Oryzias latipes: one gene and its partner. The protein of the gene in region 2 purifies or fractionates together with the protein of the main gene of each other region. This does not show direct contact. Links are inferred from orthologs where the notes say so. Each region holds a gene or a part of one and is shown on either strand. Other genes may lie near its edges.

Region 1 (8,186 bases), on a different chromosome or scaffold from region 2:
ACAATGAAACAACAAGATATACAGTATATATATTATTTTATGTTTAGCCAGAAACTATAAACACAACTTGGTTCAGCTTTGAAACTTTATCTATTTTGTCTAAAATAACAAAAGTTGAGTTTATCTTGTGGAAAAATACCTCATCTTTAATGCACTGAAACATACTGTAAATGAACATATTTAAGTGATATTTTCTTATTGGTATGATGGAAACATCTTGATCAATTAAGAAAAAAAATTTAAAAGGTAAATAGCAAAGTCACAGTGCAAAAGTTACATACAAACCCACTAACCAGACCTGTTAACTTTGCATACAAATTTGCAAAAGCGAACAGATTTGGCATATTACACCATCAGAAAGGTTCCCCCAGATTATTAATAAATGAACAGAGAAACCACAAAACACCCAGCAGCAGACTGTTATGTTTTGGGTGATAAATAAAACATTTTGTTGACATCACTGATGGAGACATCCTTTATTCGAGGTATTCCCCCCTTCTGCAGGCATTCTTCACTCTGCTTTAGTGCATAAATATCTAAAAGACACAAAGAAGACACTTAAAGCTGTTTTCTTGGTGGTGTTTTCTTAATTTTGACATAATATCCGACCTTTTTGACATAAATTACTCACCCTTATTTGTATTCATTTATTTTAAAAGTATATGCTTTTATTATGTGAGGTACAGTTCCTTTTTTAGAAAAATGCAGCTGCAATTAGCGCATGTTAAAGCTAGTTCGGTTGTATTACTCCTAGCAGTGATTTTACTTCCTTTTTTTAAAATTCAATATAATTTCACTTCAAACAGCTTTTCTGTGATTTACGCTGACTGTTAGCCTGCAGCCATAAACTCACCTGTGATGTTGTCCACAGAGTCCAGTGGGGCTGTGTTGCTCATGTTGACCCCAAATAACACCACAACAAACACCAGTATTGCCACCAGCATATATATTGGCACTGCGAGAGCCCAATACCTGCATCAAACATTTCACTTTAAGATTCAAACAAAGGCTAACAAGCCTAGGGTAATCTCATTGTAAAAAGACATAAAACATAAATTCTAACTTGTCATATTGTTGCTACTTACTTTTGAGGCCAATAAGTGAGCCCTATAGAATGAAGCCATTCCTCTGGTATGTATGCCCACAAGCAGTACAGAACTTTGGGAAAAGAAACAGAACAAACATATTTTATTAAGAGAATTCTTTGATACTCTTTTAGGATAGACTTTTTTTTCAAATTGTTCACGAACTATTTTTACTTCTGTTCTGTTACATTATCTTACATTTATGTATAAACATATGTCCTTTCATTTCAATTTATTTTTAAATCTGATGCTTTTTCATACAGAAAGACCATCCAACCAATAAAAAAGACAACCTTTGAGGAAAGTGTAAATATTCATTTATAAGCAACAGAGTTATGTGATATTCCAAATTGAAATCTTTTTAGAATTATTGGGATTATTAGAAGAATTTTCTTTTAAATGAGAAAAAGACAATCCAATTTAAAAGTTAAACAAGACTTCTTCATTTGGCTTAATACAATTTTGCCGACTTATTAAATTGTGTAGTTTTAAGCCTAAATATGAACATAACAGGCCTATTAAAAAAATCCTACTTTTTACCCAAAACAACAACAACACACAACTAGCGTTTTAAAGTAATTTACAATATTTAAGTCACTACCATCCTGCCATCTTTCAGCTGAATTTTTAAAAATATATATAAACACAATAACCTTTTACTAATGTATACCTTGAGATATAAATAACTTAAAAAAAACTAATTATTGAAAGAATTCTATTGAGAAAAAAATCCAAAAAGGCTTGTTTTTTTTAAGTGAAGTCACATTGAATTAATGGCAGTCTGTTTTTCAGGTGGTCAACTATTTATCACCCTAGTAGTAAGGAGATTTAAATCTCCACCGAGAAACGGTTATTCTATTTTAACTCAAGTGAGTCGTCCTGCACATTTACAAATTTCAATGAGATTAGATTTATGGCAACATAAACAAAAGGAACAGAATGTCTTTGCTATATTACCAAGAGCCGTAGAGATAAGTAATTCCACAACATTTTACGTTGAATGACATCTTCTGCAAATAGAACTATGCTTCTAATTTGAAAGAACATGATGTGATGGGACTTAACTTACAGAAGCCAAACTGGGAGCCAAGGAAGAGAACAAACCCATAGATTGCTCTCTCTGGCATAGGTGATGGGGAGTTTTCAACCATGATCTGAAACCAGAACACAAACAGACCATCTATTGGGTAAAATAATCGAAAATAAACAATGACAAAAAGTCACTAAACTTACCGACAGATAATAAGTGTATTTTGGTTCGTAAGAAGAGCAGCAAGTTTACAAAAACCCCTAAAAACAGTTTAAATGTTTCTCAAATAGCTTGTTTATATCGTACCATCAGCTAGGTTCAACGATAGATAAAATCCAATTCTACTATTTCAAACGAAACATAAATAAAAATGTAAAAAGTGCATCTAATCATATTACGCCAAAACCTAGCTGACTGCTGTCAACAAAACGTTAGTCCATCACCTAAATGAGTTCGGTCAGAAACTGTACATCAGGAACAAAAGACTTTAAAGAAATAAAGCAAAATTACATATCAATCTTGTGTTCTTTGTTAGTAATGTATAGATATTAAAAACTATTTTCAAGCTTGAAAAAAGAAAGAAATAAAAAAATCAACGAAGGGAGAACTTTCTGCCGCTCGAACGAATCATGTTACTTTTTTCCTGACGAACATATTTGACTGTTACTCATTCCAGAAGCACCGCAGCATGGCTTCGTGAATGTGAAGGTAAACAACTTGAAACATAATTTTTCCCTGTTTGGGAGGATAATAAAGTGGCTATTTTTGCTAATAGAAACAGTGTGTGCCCTTTATCTGGGATACATATGTATGTGACACAGCGTTAACTGTTTTCGTTTACATCTCACCTAAAATTGGCTTCTTTCAAAAACGTGGCTGTGTAACACAGCAAATACTCCCTGAAGTTTAAAGAAGTGCGACCACGATGTCTAAAATCAAAGGAAAGGAAACTCCTGCTGGAAAAACGCAACAGCTGACGTCCAAAGAAAAAAGGAAGAAGTTTTTTATAAAGCATAATCGTAAAAAACAAACTTCCCAAAAGACTCTAAACAAGAAAAATCTAGAAAATCCTGGAGCAAAGCAAACTGCACCACCACAGGATCCCCAACAGTTTTCTTCCAACTGGAAAGCATTACAAGAGGTTTGTCTGACGAATATTAAACTCTATGCTCTTCATAAGCTGTGCAACTACTTATGTGAAAATGTATTTACTTTTAAAATGTAATTATCTTCTTTGTTTCCTGAACATGGCAGATCTTAAAGAGCAGTCAGCCAGAGAAGAAGCAGCCTGTTACACCAAAACATCGGAATGGTGTCTTCCCTAAGAAGTTTAAAGGAAATGAGCCTAAAAAGTTTCAAAATAAGAGCCCTGCTCCCAGCCAGGTGCACACAGACAGAGAGGGAAAAGTCAAAAGTGGCGATGCCCCAAAGGAGGATGGGGTGAAGGCAAAGATCCACGCCGCCTTAGACAAACTGCAACCTGGTGGTGCAAGGAAAAGGCAAAACGAAAAGACAGACAATGAGAAACCAGCCAAGAAAAAGAAGCCCGTCACTGAAGAGAGGAAACCCACAGAGTATGTATCCTTATTGCTAATACTTGACTTCAGTTCGGGTTTGCCTTGTAATCTTTGCTTGTGCTGCTGTAGGGAGGACCTTTGGTTTGATGACGTCGACCCTGACGATATTGAGGAAACGATGGGAGCCGAGGCTGCAGAGATCATGAGGAGGAAACAAGGCATGAAAACAAGCAAGAACGTAGATAGCGTTCTGGTAAAAGAGAACGCCTTTGATGGGTAAGAGAAACTGTTTTGTGTTCTTACGGTCAAAATGCCACACCTTCATTTGCTATCGATCAACTCTAGTTGAAATTCACCTTTCTTTATAGAGCTCTTTTCCTGTTAAAAAACACCTCAAAGTCTTTTACATAAATAAATAATAATTATATTAGTATTTATAATAAACACATGTTGTGTACAAAAACTAGCAGGAAAAAATAATCCATAAAATCAAATTAAAACATGAGGAAATGTAAAATCGACATAAAAGCTAAACTAAAAAGGTGAGTTTAGGCCAAAGTTCTGCCATGTGGCCTCGCTGTGGGTTTTTGTTTATGACCTCAGGGAGCACCAGCATAACTGGATCTGAGGGCTCTGGGAGGGTCGTCTGCTAACACCAGCTTGATTAAAATTAAAGTGCAATTTCATTAAACTAAGAAAAGTACCTTAAAATCGATCCTAAAGCTGACAGAGAACCAGATATTTCAAATTTGGAGTCCTTCTTTTTGTCCTGATATTTTTTGATAATTTTTGCTCAACAATCATTATTATAGTATATTGTTTTAATCTCATCTGCTGCTCTTCTTCATCATTGTTTTCTTGGTCGGATGTGTAAAAGTGTTGAAAAAGTCCATTCCTAGCAACTCTTTAATCTAGTGGGATACTTCCCGTGTGTGTTGCTCTCTTTGGGCATAAGTATGAGTCTTAAAATCGTCGGATTGTTTCGCAATTGCTTCCTGATGAATATGCAGCCATAGCTGTTGCAGAGTTTATGCTCATCTCAACCTGCAGCAGACTGGCTCCAACAGACTCCCTAAGTGGAAGTAGTTGGAAAAACAGCCGTTGCCTTTTTAAACAAGTTTTTGAAAAAATCGGTATAGTTGTCAGTTATACCCCAATAACATCAGATGTTCTCTTACTTCTCTCAAAAGAGAAAATGATTTAATAATGTTTCAGGTGATTTCTGTGGAGAAACTTTAAAACGGGCAGCAGAAAGACTGGACTGTTTCATTAGATGACCTTTTGTTTTCTCCACGTTTGTACGTATGAATATCAGCATCACCAAAGCTGTAGCTATTGATTGTGAGATGGTGGGAGTCGGTCCAGATGGGGAGGACAGCATCCTGGCACGTGTGTCCATCGTGAACCAGTTTGGAAAATGCATCTATGACAAATATGTCAAACCCACAGAGAAGGTGACAGACTACAGAACAGCTGTCAGTGGGATCCGACCGGAACACATTAAAAATGGTAAGAAAACGAGACATCACTGTATACTTAGATGTTTATTGCTTTCAAACAATCCTCTGTGCTTTTGAACAGTGTCAAAATGTGATTTTTTTTTTTTTACAGGGGAGGATGTGCATGTTGTGCAAAAGGAGGTGGCTGAAATTCTGCAAGGAAGAATTGTGGTTGGTCATGCAATTCACAATGACTTAAAGGTATTGTGTTGCCTTAAAATAAATGTGTGCTCCAATAAAACAGCTGTAGCTCTCCTCTTACAGAGTCTGTCAACTGTTTCAGATTCTTCTCTTGGATCATCCAAAGAAGCACATTCGGGACACTCAGAAGTATAAACCCTTTCGGAAGACTGTAGGGGTAATTATAGAAAGTTCTTTTGTTTTTACTGAGACTTACTGGTAGATCGTCTGTGGAAGGTTCCAGACCTCATCTTAATAAGAACAAGTTTATAAATGATTTTATATTTTAGAGCGGCCGACCTTCGTTGAAACTCCTCTGCAGAGAAATCCTGCATGTGAAGGTGCAGCAGGGAGAACACTCTTCTGTAAGTTGGAAATAAAATACATCATTTTTCTTATTCTGATAATGATAAGAGATTGAAAAAAACAAAAACAAACATTTTCTGTGTGTTGCAGGTCCAAGATGCTCAGGCCACCATGAGGTTGTACACTTTGGTGAAAAAACAGTGGGAAGCAGAGTTGAAAGCAAGCAAGAAAAACAGCGACTCTAATAAGAAGAATGAGAGGAGGCCCAGGAAAAAACAAAATCAGTAAACACAATTATCCAAATATAACTTATAATTCAGAGGTTAAACATATGTTTTGTAAATTAAACTTTTCACAAAAAAGTGTAAGTTCTTTTAAAAAGGAAGACAAAATATATCATCATGGATAGCCTGATTCGGATGGAGACTTGTTTGTTTAAAGCACAGTGCTGCACATTTAACCTATTTAAACAGGAGGCTCAAAGCTTTAGCTTGAATTTGTATTCATTTTTTGTCAGCCTATGTATTAAAAAAGAGAGATCTTAAAAAATGTAGAAAAAAACGTAAGTATTCCCAGAAGGGTTGTAAAAATGTTAGATGGCCGTCACATGTAAGTTTCAACAGTTTTGTGTGTCTGAACATTCGTTTGAGCGTAAAACCATCTTTTCCTGTTAAGACATTTTCCAGCAGTGAAGAAGTTGTTTTTCCACAATGTATCTTTTACCTCTGACAAAAAATGACCCCTGTATGTGCAAGTTCAATGTCTGTTGATGTATTTTTTTCATATGGATTATTGTTTTTTAAATAAATTGAGAAACAATTGATCTGGTCTGGTCTTTTTACTTAAAAAAGTAAAGTATTTAAATATGAAAACATATTTAAAAAATTACATTTTCATGCTTATTGAAGGTGCAAATGACAAATCTAAAACAATGAAACAACAGTTCTTAAGCTTGTTTTTGAGTTTTCTCTATTTAAATAAATGTAGTCTTTAATATTTTTCATGATTTAAATTTAATTTAATAAGTAAAATATCTAATTTAAAAGTGCTACATAAGTATACGCCATTTACCATCATTACTTTATTAGGCCAGAAGACAGATGTATGTTCTCCAACCAACAGAAAGTTATAAGAATTGTGGTTATCTTAGAGCATCAGTTTTATATTCTAATGTTTTCTTTCTATAGGGAGGGACATCTGGAATCTGACCTGGACATTTGATTTAATGGAAAGAATTTAAAAAAAATTCTTTTGGTTTTAACGCCAACTGACTCCCTTCTGTCGACTAGAAGCGCTGAAAAGTTTCAAAAGCAATCACTTAATTCAAACAGGAATTGGGGTTTTTCTATTTAACCCTTTTATCGTGTTCAGATCAATATGGACTTGTTTCAAGTATAAAAAACGCCCAAAACTGGATAAAAGCCCTGGCATCTTCACACAAGTCCCGCTCACATCATTCAGTCAGAAAACAGGACTGTAAAACAAAAACGTAATGTGAGCAGCACTTTTTTAGATCATTGCATTTGCATCTTGAGTGAAATGCTTCTGTTTAACAGTGATTTTGCCTTTTAGATCGTGGCTTTAAAATCTCCACGGTCTTTTGTTGAGCCAATGGATTTGAGTAAAAGTAACTTCATTATTCACCTAGTTGTGCAAAAGAACACCTTGGCCTCAAATAATCAGTGTAAAACAATCCTCATTAGTGTTTTCCCTGCAGTCCCATTTTTACTTTGACTTTAAGACGTTTTCTAATGGTATTGTCATCACCAGGAAGGTTTTCTTACAATATTCCATAATGTACAGTGCAGGAGAAGACATATATTTGTCTCACACAGTTTCTGCAAGCTCACAAAGATGGGAAGTCTTTAATGTTCACATTAGATACACTTCAAGAGTGAGAGACAGAATGTAAAAAAGAATCTGGGAAATCACATTGCATTTACATTTATCTCTATGATGGTTCAGAAAATGAGTATTTGGTCAAGAAAAAAGTTTAATACTTTCTAATTTAACCCTGGTTGACACTGACTATTGGAAACATTTCCTGTAGGTTTTGAGCACATTGTAGCTGCTGTTTCGGTCCATTCTTCCATGTTTCAGGGTTTTTGCCGGAAAACACAGACTTTCTAATCCTTCCACAGATTTTTTATTGGAGACTGGCTTTGGCTTTGGCCAGCCCAAAACCTTGTGAGGACTTTTACTTACCCATGCCGTCATTGCCTAGGCGATATGTTTGGAATCATGTTTCATCCTCAAAGCTCACTGATGGAAGCAGGTTTTTCCTAATAATCTCACCATACGCAGCTCTAGTTTGGGATGATCAGTACAATTCAGCCATCCTGTCTCCTTTGCAGAAAAACAGTCCCAAAGCCTGATGTTTCCACCCCCATGCTTCACAGTGGGTATGGTTTTCTTGAGATTTAACTCAGCATTCTTTACCTTCTGAACAAGGTTCTCTAGTAAACTAGAAAGTCCTGGACATGTTCTGGTTTGAGCAGCAGGACCTTTGGAGGTCTGAAGGATTCAAATCCTTTGTGTTTTACTGATAGTATCCTTTGTCATTGTGGTC
Region 2 (8,141 bases):
TCATATTCGGAATGTTGTCGGCGACCATGTTGGCCAGAACAGCGCTAAGCAGAGGCATTACTGCCCAGCACCTCTGTAAAAACGTGACCCTGTATATGAGTGAACTAACAGCTACGGGTTCCGGAAGTCCGATCACCAAACCACTAATGCTGATGTTGCCGTGGTTGGGTTCACGTCCACAAGCCGTGGATAAGTATTGTGAGATTTACTTTCGCACCGGCTTCGACGTCATCGTGGTGGAGAGTGAGGTAAAGACTTCTTTAAAAAAAATAATAATAACTTTATTTAAACTTCATATTATTAAAACATGCAATAAAAATCACAGAGGTCAGTGAAATTAAGCAGGAGATGTTAAAATCTTCTGCAACAACTGCAGTGGAATGGAATAAAATTATGTAAATTGCATTTTTTTTATTTATTTAGGTTTCTGATCTTGAATTGAATACCTACATTTATTTACAAATTGCTCTTTTAATTTTTTTTTACTAGGTAAAGGATTTCCTGTGGCCTCGATGGGGACTAGACCGTGGGAAAACATTGCTGGATTTGCTTCTGAGTGATCGCTTTATGTCCCGGCCTCTGCTTGTCCACGCTTTCTCAATTGGCGGCTACACATTTGCCCAACTGCTTGTTCATATGTCGCACGACCAAGAGAAATACCAGGAATTTGCCAGTAGGATCAAAGGTCAAGTTTATGACAGCTTGGTGGTAGGCTCATTGGAGCAAATGGCCACAGGTAAGTGGGTTCAAGCATCAAGTACTGAATGGATTTTTTTTTTCTTCAATAAATTATGTATATAAAACCAGCTTTTTTTATTTTAGGTAAAAAATAATATTGGATGTCTTTGTTTTTTTCCTGTCTGTCTGTTTAGGTCTTGGTAAAACAGTTTTTCCTCGTTTTGAGACCTTGATTAAACAAATAAGCCTGCTGTACTTCACTATCTTTAAAACCCAAACGGTGGACCACTTTAACTCCAGCATTGATGTTTTCTGGAACAATCCAGTCAGAGCCCCTGCACTAATGTTCTTTTGCGAGAATGATGTGATGAGCCATGCGCAAACGGTGGAGAAACTCATTGATTACTGGAAGAAGCATGGAATGGACGTCTCTGTAAAGAAGTGGGAGGACTCAACACATGCGGGTCACTTAAGGAGGTATCCTCAAGAATATCTGACCACCCTAAACTCCTTCCTACACTCCCTTCAAATCTCCCCTCTTAAGGCAAAGATGTAAGAAGGTTCATTTTAAATGCAGATCCAAAGCAGGGTTTAAATAAAATGTTCTCAGCATAAATAACAGTTTCACCATTTCAAGGTTAATTTAAGTCCCAGAAATCAAATTAGTCAGTTTTACACACTTACTGTGAACTTTATAAATCTACTGAAGTTATTGTTTTGACAACTTCATTGACAAATTTTCCGTTTGTTTCTTGTTTTTGGCTTTTACAAACGTTCTTATCTTAATATTTAACGTGTTAAATGTTGGCAAAAAAGTTGCAAAGCCGATGCAAATGTGAACTCAGCATTTCTAAACACAAGACAAACTGTTGTGGAGAAGAGAGATGCTTCCAGAAATGTCTTCCATTTCAATAACGGATCTCCACTGAGCTGAACAACTCCTTTAGACTCACTTGATTAAGAGATTTTATCCTGACAATCAATCAAAAGGTGACAAATCGGTCGAGACGGGATAAACTGTTGGAAGGAGTAGCTATTTGGAAATCTAAAGATGTGAAATGAATACAACCAAAATGTTGACACTTTTAACTGTTTAGAAGAAAATTAAATCAGTTTTATGTTCCGAGATTCTCTCTTCTTAGCACTCTGACACAAGTGGACGGGTGCAGTTTTTTTTTTTATTGTGGTCTCTAACATTTAGAGGACGTGTTGTTGACTGATTTTGGTCCATTTGAAACAGCCTGTTTTTAAATGTCATGAAACGATGTGGAACCAGGGAGAAATCGCTTTTGTGCATCGTCATATTGAGTTTTGTTAAAGAAATGAAGGACTGTTATCTGTAGCTGACTTACCAGTAATCATTTTAAATTCAAATTTTAATTTTCTCTGTGACTTGATGCTTTTAAATCTTCATTATGACACTACATCTCTGTACTTGAACATTTCTGTTATGGAATATTATAAATGTGGCACTTTTTTATGCTTGTAACTTGAAAATTACTAGGGAAAAAAAATGTGAAAAACTGAATGAAATTGATTTCTTTGTGTGTTTTTTCCTTGATTTATTCCATATAAACCCAATCAATGTTGAACAAGCTATAATCTGTATTACATTATCAATTATTTGTCTTTTAAAAGTCATCTGTAATACTTTTCATAATGGGTCATAAGTCCTCTAGTACCTTTCAGTTCCTTTCTTCATGACACTTGCAGAGAGAAAACATAGTTTCTGAAGTGGGAAATGAATTTCACATTTACATGAGGGGCAATATGGATTAATAAAAAGTGACTCGTTTGCCTCTATTAAAGTTAAAAAAAAAGATTTAACTTTAGTCAGTTTCAATCGGTCCATAAAAAAAATATAAGAAACTTCTTAGGGAAAATGCTGCTTAACAAACGAAAATTAACATCTAGCTTACAATGAAATGGTTGGGGAAAAACAGGCCTACATACTAAGAAATAAAAACAAAATGTAGATTTTAACGTTTTAAGATGGCCAACAATGAATTCACTGCAATCAAATTCCTATGAAAAAATAAAATTAATTAAAAATTAAGCTATTAAAATACCAACCAAAAGCCCATTACATGTTTTATTTGTGGCTTTTTTAAAACTAATGCCAAATGGTTTTATTGTAGTTTAAGGTGTAAATATGCTGAAATGAAAGAGTTGCTAACATATAAGAAATAATATTTTACGTCACTGATTTTGTAATGCCTTTTATTACTTACACAATTGTCTGCAAGTTTTATGTATTTGACACGGTCAGTTGTAGATTAGGATCAAGTGGGCATTTTAATTGAGAATGAGCTTCACTTGAAAGATCTATACAAAACCGGAGCGACATTTTCACCTCCGGAGCGGTAGGTGGCAGCACACTGGCTTTGTGGGAGAAAGCATCAACCGACAAACTTCCTGTCAATTTCAAGATGGTTTCTCCCTCATGTAAACATGCGACTTAAGTTTGTTATCGCGTGCCCTTAAAAGCGATTTTCCCCTCCCCAGACCTTCACTGAATAGCTGAGTGATTGGTCGATAAATCTTATTTACGGTTTTTAAATACAGTCGGTTACTTAGTGCTAACTTTGTGTTTCGCGGTAACCGCAGGCGAGAGGGCCATGCACACGCAAACCATCTTCGTTGGGTCTTTACCAGAATCAGCGACAAACGAGCGGCTTGAAGAAATCTTCTCAGAAATCGGTCCGGTCAAACAATGCTTCGTGGTCCGAGAAAAAGGTACTGTTGTTGTCCCAATACCATAAAACAGAACACATGACAATATGTTAAATAACGGCGAGAAATTTTAAAATAACATACAAATTAAAGCACTAGTGGTGTGAAAAACAAAGTTTTATTATTATTATTATTATTATTATTATTAATTTACTAGAAATGTGAATCTATGACATTTTTTAAACCGAGCTAATTATGCCTGTTTTTTAATTCAGGTACAGAAAAATGTCGGGGGTTCGGTTTTGTCAAGTATTCCATGGAAGATGATGCACAACGAGCCCTGAAAGAAATCAAAGACTTCGATGGGAAGAGGCTCTCTCTTTCTTTGGCAAAGAAGAAGATCGATGACAAAAAGAAAGCAGGTTTGGATGAAGAAAACAATACAATCTGTGATCTGACTTACATACTCTTGTCTAAGTTTTGTAATCATGTCTTCACTTTTGTAGTTAAAAAGACAGATCCAGCACCAAATCCTGGTGCAAAGAAAGTCCCTGGCATCAAAAAACAACAGCTGAAATCTCGACTGATTATCAGGAATCTCAGTTTTAAGGTACAGACTTATTCATGTAAAGATTTCTACAGCAAGTCGTCTGTGCCACAGAATCTCATATAACTCCTAACATTTCAGTGTTCAGAGGATGATCTTAAAGAGGTTTTTGAAAAATATGGAACAGTTTTGGAGGCCAAGATTCCCCTGAAACCCGGTGAACATGTTTTCCTTCATTTTTTTCAGTATTCCAAAAATATTACAGCTTTGTTTTAACTTTAAGAAATATTTCAATAGATGGAAAAATGCGAGGATTTGCATTTGTGCTGTTTAAAAATGTGTGTGGAGCAGCAAAGGCACTGAAGGCGATGAACCTAAAGGAGATAAAAGGTCAGAGGGTAAAACATTTGTCTTTGACATTTTTTTTTCTTTATACTTAATTTGACGCCGTTTTATCACAGGTCGACCTGTTGCAGTTGACTGGGCTGTACCTAAAGACAAATATACCGCCTCAACACAGTCATCACATCCAGGTAATGAAGACTCAGAGCAGCCCTAGAGCCAGGTCGTGGTTTTAAAAAGCTCCAATTGACAGTTTTCCAAAAGTAAATGTTAGATTTTGAAGTCTTGTGCTTCAAAACCAATATTATTTTTGCCTTTGTTAAAGCTTGGTAACAACCTTTGTTCTTCAGAGTCTAAAAAAGAAGGCCTTACATATTTTAATGCCTAATGAGTTACAAATGTAAAGGCTCTCATTTTATTAGAAAAAGTTTTGGTTTAGTTGGAACATTTGTCTTCTGCCTCTGTAGCTACTGGGAATACAAGAGTAATAAATGCGTGACTTGAGGAAAAACACATTTTACTGTTCAAAGACTTTTCTTTTGATTGAAAATTTCGCAGAGATGTTATTTCATTTTTTTTCTTAGGCAACAAGAACACAAAACAAGCAAGTGACACTTGTGATGAGGATGAAGAACAGAGCCAAGTTGTGCAGCCAGTAGAAGAGCCTAAGGTAAAGGAGGAAGATGAAAGTGAGGATGAAGATGACAGTGAGGACAATGAAAAAAGTGAAGATGAGGAGGGAAACAGTGAAGATGAGGATGACCATAGAAAAGAAGAGGAGGAAGATGACGATGACGACAATAGCAATGATGATGATGATGATGATGATGATGATGGCCTCGATTCAGCCAATGGCGATTCAGCCAGTGAGGATGCAGAAGATGATGATGATGATCAATCAGGTAAAAATATTTCATATACATGAACATAGAATGTGGTCTTTATGGAAACTAAGAAATGTATATTTTATGTGTGGATTTCATTTTTAGCTAAAAGAAAAGCTCGGAAAAAAGATCTCCCTTCTGATGTGAAAGAGGGCCGAACAGTTTTCATAAGGTTGGCCTCTTCTCCAACTTAAACCTAAATGCTCCTTTAAGTCAATAAACTTGAATCCTTTTCAGGCTAGCTGAACACACAACAGACGTTTTTTAGCGTTCACATTCTGTCGCGTCAAATCACAATGCCTCCTTCTGGTTTTTAGGAACTTGTCTTTTGATACGGATGAAGAAGGACTGGAGAGCGTTCTCCTTCAGTACGGAGAGCTAAATTACATAAAGATCCTCCTTCATCCAGACACAGAACATTCAAAAGGTCAGAAGGGAACAACTAAAAGGCTTTTCTGCTTTAAATCAAATCGCTGACCCTTACAACCTTGTATGTCACTTTTCCAGGTTGTGCATTTGCTCAGTTTAAGACCAAAGACGCTGCAGACCGATGTATAGTTGCTGCCCAGGATGAAGCAGAGGTAACGGATAAGCTTCTCTCTTTTTTTTTTTTGTTTCTCATCAACTGTTTTAGTAAAACGGATGACCTTTTCTTCGCCTGTGCTGCAGAAAGGTGGCATCCGTGTGGATGGCAGAAAGCTGTCGATTGTTGCAGCAGTGTCCAGAGAAGACGCTGTCAAGCTGAAAGTCGATAAGAAGAAAGTAGAAACGGGCAGCAGGAATCTGTACCTTGCCAGGGAGGGGCGTAAGTCCGCACATTTTAGCCTTTCATAACTCTGATAATGTCGAGAGGGGCTTTAATTTTGCAATCTTAGCATTACCCATGGAAAGCTTTTCAGTGTAAATGTTCTTCTTAACTTTCAGTGATTCGTTCTGGGACGAAGGCTGCTGAGGGGGTTTCTGAGGCAGACATGGCCAAAAGGACTCGAGTCAGTCGATCTTTATGGGAAAATTCTTTCATTTTTTTTATGCACCAGGCTTCATTCAGTCTTCTATGTTGTTTATTATTTCTAATTTGTTCTTCTTTTAAAAATAATTCAAAGACATTCTATGTTTTTTTTAAGTTTGAGGAAATGAAAAGAGCCAAGCTTCGGGACATCAGTGTGTTCGTGTCCAAAACTCGCCTGTGCATCCATAACCTGCCTAAGTCGGTGGACAATAAGAAGCTGAAAGCTCTCTGCCTTCAAGCTGTTAAAGGAGTGAAAGGAGTTCGGATCACGGAGGTAGATTGGGATGGATTCACCTAGTTTTGAGCTTTAAGCAAATATCTGTTTTTGCCTGTTTGGATTTCTTTTTGCGGTTTTCTTCTAAATCTGTTTTGAATTCTGTTGTTTTAGTGTCGAGTCATGTATGACAAGAAGCCAGAGAGGGGTCAGGTTCTAGGACAGTCCCTGGGTTACGGCTTTGTTCAGTTCCAGGAGCACGAACAAGCTCTTAGCACTCTGCGGTACCTAAATAATAACCCAGACATCTTCAGTGCACATAAGGTACGCTATCTACAAACTTAAAGTCTGTGAAATCAGTCTTTGCTGCCATTCTTTTTTATCTCCTAAAAACATACACCAACTCTAATATTTTTGTGTTTTGCTTCTTTACACAGAGACCAATTGTGGAGTTTTCTCTGGAAGATTCAAGGAAACTCAAAATAAAAGAAATCAGAAAGCAAAAACACAAGGTACGCCTTCACAGATATGTTTGCTCTGCAACTAATACGCTTTAATGGCTTTCGTTGACACTGTGGGTGATTTGACAGGATTTCTTGAAAAGTAATGCTTTTAAAGGGGGAAAGCCTCAACAGAAAACCCTTGGAGACAACGCCAGACTTCAGAAAAGTGGAAATGAAGAACCAGATCAAAAGAAAGGTAAGTCTGATTTCTTTTCAGTTGGGGAAAACCAGCTGCACTGAGAACAGGTTAAAAGTCTTGAGATCGAGGTGGGAGACACCAATGTGTCACGATTCTTCAGGACTTTCAGACCTTCAACTGACTGAGATATGCGGAAGTGGTAGATAGATGTGGTTGACAGAAGTGTTCCTTGGGATAGTAAACTGGAAGAATTTGTGCTCAAGTTGTTCTGTTACTCATGACGAGACGCAGGAAAAGGGAAGTCTGACAAAGCAGTTTGAACCAGACAACAGCACGACTGTAAAGAAACAGTAAGCTGCGTAGAAGCAGTTGCACATTTCATCACTGATGGGTTTCTTTTTTTTCTCCTTACACTGAATGCTAACCATTAAAATGTTCAGCAAGTTAGAAATGTCTCTTTTTTTCTCCTGTTTATTTTATTTCTCAGGTAATCCCGAAAAGCAGAATCAACATGGATTCTATTCAGGTTTCCAGACCAAAGCTGCGGTCGAGCATGTCGATTTGAAGAATGGAAAAAAACGAAAGAAGGTTCTACCTTTGCCATCTCACCGAGGGCCTAAGATCAGGTACTATTCCTGGTTACAGACACTCATAACTTATTGTTTCCCTAAATAAATCTTAATTGTTTTGTAGATTTTTAAGCATTAGGTTGTTGTTTTGTTTAAAGATGAAATATTAGTTTAAATTTGATCTGGACGATAAAAAAATAAACTCTGACCTTTTGCAGAATGCGTGACAAAGGAAAGCAACAAGCCCCGCCTCCTAAAAAAGCAAAGCCAGGATCTAAAAGAAGCAATCAAAGGAGGTTGATGGTTGAAAAGCCGTCACAGCTTAAAAATCCGGTTTGTATGCTTTCAAAGATTTCCATCTAATAATATCCTAACTGCCAGCCATGATCTACAAAATCAAAACAAATATTTTAAATAGGGATGGGCCGATATAATTATTTCCGACCGATTAGTTTAGATTTCCTTTAAGTTTCTTTATTAGAAATGTACAACTTTTCTTTTACTGGACAATCACACTGTACTTGACCTTTTTAACACACAGCAAAGGATCTCATAGGAATAAGTAACACTTTAAGGGTTTCAT

What was found. Proteins that work in one complex are often made in the same cells at the same time.
Region 1: the proteins of rbm28 (region 2) and rexo4 purify together in Homo sapiens (affinity purification with mass spectrometry; 3 studies listed by BioGRID and IntAct, with this or other methods). This does not show direct contact. The link is inferred for Oryzias latipes from reciprocal best matches to the Homo sapiens genes RBM28 and REXO4.

Annotation. Positions count from the first base shown.
Region 1 is NC_019877.2:8,247,872-8,256,057, forward strand, and holds rexo4 (RNA exonuclease 4), read left to right. Parts: upstream 1-2,768; 5' UTR 2,769-3,040; coding exon 3,041-3,256; intron 3,257-3,369; coding exon 3,370-3,689; intron 3,690-3,761; coding exon 3,762-3,908; intron 3,909-4,947; coding exon 4,948-5,141; intron 5,142-5,243; coding exon 5,244-5,332; intron 5,333-5,414; coding exon 5,415-5,489; intron 5,490-5,601; coding exon 5,602-5,676; intron 5,677-5,767; coding exon 5,768-5,905; 3' UTR 5,906-6,438; downstream 6,439-8,186. Other genes in the region: pigp (phosphatidylinositol N-acetylglucosaminyltransferase subunit P), read right to left, coding at 421-536, 854-972, 1,086-1,158, 2,155-2,236.
Region 2 is NC_019864.2:20,015,282-20,023,422, reverse strand, and holds the start of rbm28 (RNA-binding protein 28), read left to right. Parts: upstream 1-3,038; 5' UTR 3,039-3,296; coding exon 3,297-3,414; intron 3,415-3,626; coding exon 3,627-3,773; intron 3,774-3,857; coding exon 3,858-3,961; intron 3,962-4,039; coding exon 4,040-4,115; intron 4,116-4,195; coding exon 4,196-4,288; intron 4,289-4,359; coding exon 4,360-4,431; intron 4,432-4,824; coding exon 4,825-5,142; intron 5,143-5,229; coding exon 5,230-5,296; intron 5,297-5,441; coding exon 5,442-5,551; intron 5,552-5,631; coding exon 5,632-5,705; intron 5,706-5,793; coding exon 5,794-5,929; intron 5,930-6,048; coding exon 6,049-6,113; intron 6,114-6,248; coding exon 6,249-6,407; intron 6,408-6,521; coding exon 6,522-6,671; intron 6,672-6,784; coding exon 6,785-6,859; intron 6,860-6,937; coding exon 6,938-7,046; intron 7,047-7,476; coding exon 7,477-7,615; intron 7,616-7,776; coding exon 7,777-7,891; intron 7,892-8,141. Other genes in the region: transmembrane protein 53, read left to right, coding at 12-248, 490-736, 873-1,234. UniProt on the Homo sapiens protein: Nucleolar component of the spliceosomal ribonucleoprotein complexes.